Coturnix japonica: one gene and its partner. The protein of the gene in region 1 interacts with the protein of each later gene in a biochemical or structural test. Links are inferred from orthologs where the notes say so. Each region holds a gene or a part of one and is shown on either strand. Other genes may lie near its edges.

The links.
Region 2: the proteins of PAX3 (region 1) and SOX10 form a complex in vitro, tested with the Homo sapiens proteins (2 studies listed by BioGRID and IntAct). The link is inferred for Coturnix japonica from reciprocal best matches to the Homo sapiens genes PAX3 and SOX10.

The regions. Positions count from the first base shown.
Region 1 is NC_029524.1:6,485,362-6,488,373, reverse strand, and holds the end of PAX3 (paired box protein Pax-3), read left to right. Parts: coding exon 1-147; intron 148-665; coding exon 666-700; 3' UTR 701-2,264; downstream 2,265-3,012. UniProt on the Homo sapiens protein: Transcription factor that may regulate cell proliferation, migration and apoptosis. Involved in neural development and myogenesis. Transcriptional activator of MITF, acting synergistically with SOX10.
Region 2 is NC_029516.1:46,583,880-46,587,778, forward strand, and holds the start of SOX10 (transcription factor SOX-10), read left to right. Parts: upstream 1-903; 5' UTR 904-1,717; coding exon 1,718-2,010; intron 2,011-3,098; coding exon 3,099-3,527; intron 3,528-3,899. UniProt on the Homo sapiens protein: Transcription factor that plays a central role in developing and mature glia.

The DNA of each region.
Region 1 (3,012 bases):
TCTCAGCCAGCTGCAGTCAGCGGCTAGATCACATGAAGAGTTTAGACAGCCTGCCTACATCCCAGTCCTACTGCCCTCCAACCTACAGCACCACTGGCTACAGCATGGACCCCGTCACGGGCTACCAGTATGGACAATACGGACAAAGTGAGTACTGCAACGCCATAGTCATTGATCAATTGTATGTGTTTTTGTCTGCAACAAAGAAAATTACAGGAATAGATCCTAATGGCTGACTGCTACTACTCTCCAAAATCGAGTGGAGTGCACTGGTGAGATAGCTGTAGGTTGGAGCAAGAATTCTGCTGCATAATTATTTTCTTAAGTGATGTCAACAACATCTTGATGTTATTAATTGTTGAGACATGAAACCTGATTGCCATTAGGTAAAACATAAGGGTTGTCCAAATCGAAATAACCACTGGCATTCCATTATTAGAAACACATGTTCTTAATGAGGTCAGCTCAAGAATCATTACAGTATATAATCCCAGATACGTAGAGTTTTGTCAAACTTGTCCCAGGAATAAAAATATTAGTCTTTTTCCTTTGATATATCAATATTAAATATGACAATGTCAACCTGTAGTTGGCATGGCCCCATGCTGCGAGGTTGTCACAGCGTGACTTAAAAAGCTTCTTTTGTTGTTTTTTTTCTATTGCAGGTGCCTTTCATTATCTGAAGCCAGATATTGCATAAATGAACTGTCCACTTCAAGTTAAAGCTGGTGTTATTTTCCGGTCTCGCTCCAGAGCTTGGATACCAGGGATCTTCTCAACACACTGCAGTCTAAACCGGGGCAATCCCAATGAGAGGAGCAGGATTGTCCCGCTCTCTCCAGTCATAGCATTTAGTAGACTTCTGAAGACTGAACAAAGCTATACAGAAGACAGAGGCCAAAAGCAATAATGAATAAATAAATGCGACATGGTTCATTATGAGTGGGTATACAAAACAGAGCAGAACTTAATATTGCTGCCTGGCAAAACATTCCGTTTTTTTTTTTGTTGTTGTTGTTGAAATTAATGTGCATTGATTGGGACAAATGGAACATGTTGAAATTTAGCAGTTGAGCTCTGCATACTCTGACTCATCTGGCGTCCAGTGCTGACTTTAGTCTAACGTTAAAGCTGCCCAGTTTCTGAAGCATGGGCAGCAGAACCTCTTTTGTTACACACTGGAAATGGCCATCAAGAGGAAATGTCACAGTCTATAGGAAGCTAGGATAAATGCAAAAGACTTCCAGAGCAACTTACTGGTTATCTTACCATGCTTCTGTAATCATGTTGTCAATAAATGCCACTTATGAGTTTTGCTTTACCGAGAGACAAGATCTCATGTAACATGAAAAATACATTTTATCTTTTTATGTGGAGTTTTCCTGGTCCATTGTACCTTTTTGAACAAACTTGGAGGGAAAAAAAAACCCAACGTGACTGATTTTTTCACAACTGCCTAGCAATGTGCAATACTGTGTACCTCACACAGGCTTTGGAATCATCCAAAGTCATATAGATAGAATCAGAACTATATTTTTGCAGGTACTTTTATTTTTGCAGTGCATAATTCCTAATGATCAAATACAGAAATGTTGCAGTTGCTGGACAGCTAAAATCCAGCTGCTAATCATGATTTAAAGGTCATTTGCAGGAAACAGTAAGAAAAAATGATTACGTTTACATTTTCTAGTGATGTACGGGACATGAACAGAGATGGACCTGTACAGAACACAGTCGTTTAAATTATACAGTGATATCCGATATAGAAGATAATTATAGGAGCCAAGGTTTACAAGAAGTTTGCATTGTGACATTTTAGAATGTCAATAAATTTGTGTTTTGTGATGTTGAGAGGAAGATGGAAGACGGTGTTATTTATTTCTCTCTATTCTTTGAACAAAGAGAGAGGCAGAACACAAATACATTCCTTTTAGTGTTAAGGACAATGAAGTAGTGCATTAGACTAGATTCAGTACGGAGGTTAGTTCGCACATTGGTCTTAAGGGAGAGGGAAAAACGAAATCTCTTTGTGTTGCAGCCTCTACCAACAGCGTGTTGTAAAAAAAACAAATGAACAAAACAACAAAAACAAAAAAATGTCTTTCATGTAAAAAGTTCAGTAAATATTTACTATTTATAATGAATAAACAGTTATGAAGCCTTGCAAAGCACTGATGATTTTGTCCTAAAATGTAGTATTGTGCTAAATACATTGATACATTTTAATCTGAATATCATGAAGAAATAAACCATGTTATCTTCAACTCAAGGTGTATTCCTTATGTTAGTGTCTTCTGCACGCAATCTAGAGCAGCAGTAGCCTTGGGCAGCCTCTGTGCTCAGGCACTGCTTGTACGCTGCTCAGAGGTCTGGGTTTGTCTTTTTTCAAGCACTGTTAGCACTGTATGTCTTCCCAACAGCAAAAGCCTCATGTCTTTGCTGTGCGTTTGAAGGGCTTAAACTCAGTGCAAGTAGGTCAGCTATGATGGTTTCACACAGCGCTAGAACTCTAATGAGTAATGGCTCATGGGCAGCTTCTGTACTGGTTATTTTTTCATCCTTCGTACTGGTTATTTTTGCATTCTTAAAGGCCTCGGGAATTTGTTTACAGGGTTAAGAAAAGGCAACTGGGGGAAAGACTTCCAGACAACTGGAATACGTTTCAGTGGCACACCAGTTCTAGAGGGTTGGTGGGCATTTAATTTCCTCACTGCTTTGTGGGGGAACTGGCTACCTTGAAATGTTCAGCTCTTATGTACTCATTTAATTTTTGTTTTTATTTCATTGTTTGGAAAAAAAGCGCTGTCTTATCAGCTGGAAAATGAAATAATAACATTTTTGAGAGGAAGGCATTTAAAAATGCTGAAATATGGAGAGTTTCCTTTCTAGATTATATTTCTCTGGTACACTTTTAATATCTGTGATAATTAAAAATTACGTCTCCTTTTAATAACAATTTCCTTCTCTAAGATTCCCATTTTTTCTGATGTTCTGTTTTCCATTGCCTTTCCC
Region 2 (3,899 bases), on another chromosome or scaffold:
CCTCAGCTGAACAGAAGCATCACACCTCTTCCCACTGTTGTAGAGGTATGTTCTGCCACAGCTTGCTCTCCTGTGTCTGTTTTCATAGCAAAAGGAAAGAGATGAATCATGGATGGAAGAGAATTCAAAAAAGGTCTCATACATCAAGGCAGGGATGTAAGAGCTCCTGTCCCTGGTGGAGAAGGAGAGCAGTGGGGCCAACAGTGATTCAGAGCCCTGTGGGTTACTGAAGTCCCTTCCTGGCTTGCTCTTGTTCTTGCCACAGTTGGGAGTTGGAGGATCAGACATCCTTCTGCTCACTTAGACCCTGGAGACATGGAGGAAACCCCAAACTCTACCACTTGCTATCTTGCTGGAGTTAAGCATAGACTCATTCTCCCTGTAGATGCCACAAGTTCGGTGGCTTCTTTGATTCTGCATCCAGTGGACCATTGACATCATTTCGTTTGGAAGCTGGGGTCTTTCTTGGTGGGAGAGATTGTCCCATTCCATAAGGCTTGAGGCTCTTTCTCCAGTTGCTGCTTTGGTCAAGGAAGCATGGCATCGATCCTGGATTCCGAGCATGTTAGCTCAGATGTTCAGCACCATCCTTGGGATTGATTCCCTTATGTTTCAAACAGTGCCAGACAGGGATTTTGTGGGGTGTTACACTGAATCATAAATCACTGAGATTGGAAAAGACCTCTAAGACCAGCTAGACCAAATGTCAGCCCATCCCTACCATGGCCACCAATTACATCCTACTGTGCCACATCCACACAGTTCTTGAACACTTCCAGGGACTGTGACTCCACCACCTCCCAGGGCAGCACCATTCTTTCTACCATAAAGATTCTGGAAAGTAAAGATCTGTTACAGAAGCTAAAAATGTTCTTGAAATCCTTTGAACTTTGTTCCCTGGGTCACAGTCATTCACCTCCTTGCATTTTCTTGCTTCTCACCTTCAGGTTGGCTCTCCAGCAAAGAGCTGGGATTCAGGAGGATCTGGGAAGATTATCAGAATTCCATGGGTGATCTCTCATGGTTACAGGACTGGCACTTCTCTTTGACATCCCCAATGAGAAGGGAAAGTGAAGAAGCCAACAACCACATGCATCTGGGAAGGAAAGCAAGCTAGAAAATGGAAGAATTGGTGGGAACAATCTGCAATCTGTTGTGTGATTAGAGCCTGCATGTGTTCCAGTGCATGAGCAGCAAGGAGTGAATGACTATGAGATAGTCCTCATATGTGAGAAGACCTCACACTTGCCTTCAGGAGCAATTCAACACATCCAAGGAAGTTCTGTCTGGTCATCTTGGTGAGAGTTCACAGAGATGGAGACATTGTGAGGACCCCATCTTCAGGGTGTAAGAGTGCTAAGTGGGTTCAAGAAGGCATGACTTGCTCTGCAGACTGCTCATATGGACTTAATGTCCTCCATCCTCAGGATGCTCCTGACCTCTTGCATCCCCTTCTCCACACTCAGGATGCTCTTTTTGCAGCATCTTAACTCCATTATCCTGGGCCAGATTGTTGCAGTGCACTGGGGTCCCCACTGGACTCCATGATGGGGATCAGGACATGTTGGGAATGTGGATACCACAAGCATGTCAGTGGTAGCAGGGGTAAAGAAGGGGAGCCCAGCCCTGAGTTGCATTACTTCACATCCCTCCCTGTGCCCAGTAACTCCAATACCCTGGGGGTGAGCTCTCTATCCCCATTGGGAGTAAGCAGGGAATGCTGAGTTGGGGTAGGGGGCTGCAGCATCCCCTCCCCACCAGCCCTGACTGTGTCCTGGCTCTGAGCAACACTTGGCTCCACCTTCCACCCTTCCCTCCCCCAGTGCTAAGCAGCAAAGCCAGCAAGAGGCATCCAGCCGGGGCATTAGTAAAAACCAAGCCTCCCTCCAGGAATGGCACTTGCCTGAGCACCTCCCCGGCAGCACGCCCCACAGCCGGAGGGAGAACAGGGGGGCACTGGGACAGGAGCTGCAGCCTTCACAGGGTTTGCTGCCCGCACCAGCCAGCAACGTAAGTTTTCTTACCTGAGCTCACTGGCATGCACATTTATTTTTCATACTTTCTGCCACTTTTTCAATTTCCCCAGCGTAGATTTCATGTCATCCCCTGAAAGCGGGGTGACAGCAGCCTTTGCTCCGCATTGACTTTTGCAGCTAAACAAGAGGCATGCTTTTCTGTAACTTCCTATTTTTTTCTTTCTTTCTTTCCTCCTTTTAACTTCTTTCTAGGGGAGAGATGTTGGTGGGGTGGGGGGGGAGGGCTTTATTTTTAGAGCATTTCTTTTTCCAATCAGGGGACAGTGATGCTGTGGCAGGGACTTACAGAGGTGACTGCAGGCAGTGAGATATGAGGGTTGCACAGGGCAGGCAGTTCAGGTCCTGGGTTTCTCTTCAAGTTGAACTATGTGTGTGTTTGCATCTGGATATGTAGGTGCATATGTATATGTGTATGTGTGTTTATATGTACATATACAAGGACGTGTTTGGGGACATGGAGCGGGTGTGATTTAGGTCTTTGATCCAAGAGCAGCAAGCAGTGGCCAAGCGGTAGGGTGTCACATTGGCACTTTCTCCTACTGCCCCTGGGGCTCTGGAGGTGGCCAGGAGATGGGAGATCTTTGTTTTATCCTCCATGGAGATCTGCAAGCAGGCAGGATGCTCTATGCTCCCTTCTATGGGGTCCCCAGAACCCCTTGTCCTTCATGGTCTAGAGCGATTTCAGGCATGGGTTGACGGTTGGATTAGGTGATCCTAGTGGTCACTCCAACCTTAATGATTCTATGATTCCATAATTCCTTAGCACAGCTGGGCAGCTGCCATAGTCCCCTCTGCACATGCCAGTTTGGGACATTTGCAGAGATAAGAGCTCCCGATGGGTCAGGGCCCCGATCCATCCCCACCCCCATCGATCACGGGTTTTGTGGTGTGCACAGCTATTGCTTTGCTTGCGCTTTTATCAAGCAGCCCCTGTCTCGTGGTCTGCTCTTCGGAGTGTGGAGTCCCAGTCGGATTTGGTGGTTGCTTTTCCTTTTCTCTATTTTCCTTCTTCTTTTTTTCCTTCCTTTCCTTTGTTTTTCTCTTCCTCCCTTTCCTCCCCAGTGAGAAGAAGAAAGTGACCATGGCTGATGAGCAAGACCTGTCAGAGGTGGAAATGAGCCCAGTGGGTTCTGAAGACCACCACTGCCTCTCACCAGGACCATCCATGGCATCGGACAGCTCTCCACACCTTGCGGGCTCTGGGAATGGAGAGATGGGCAAGGTCAAGAAGGAGCAGCAAGACTCGGAGGCGGATGATGACAAGTTCCCTGTCTGCATCCGTGAAGCGGTCAGCCAGGTGCTGAGCGGCTATGACTGGACCCTGGTACCCATGCCTGTTCGAGTCAATGGAAGTAACAAGAGCAAACCCCACGTCAAAAGGCCCATGAATGCCTTCATGGTCTGGGCACAGGCTGCCCGGAGGAAACTGGCTGACCAGTACCCGCACCTCCACAACGCTGAGCTCAGTAAGACCCTAGGGAAGCTCTGGAGGTAAGAGCGGGCGCGTGAAGGTGTCCTGATGCTCAGGAGGAAAGATGGAGATGGGGAGGGTGGAGGGGGTGTCTCTTGTGCCACTGCTTCCTTGCTGTAAGATGCCCACGGGAGGCACTGCCAGAAGCTAGGAGAATGGGGAAGTGTTCTATACCTCATATATGTAGTGAAAGCTTCCTCAGCAGAGCTCATCTCCATCCCAAGTGAAGCCCGCACTTTTCTTTTTCACCTGTTTCCCTCTGATTTTCCCTGTTGTTCCTGACCAAGACACTTATCCTTGTCTGCTTGTGCTTGATGGTCAGGGGAGATCTTGTTTTCTTGGCTCACCCTCTGCTGGGCAAAATTAAGCATGAACAGAATCTGGTCTGAGCA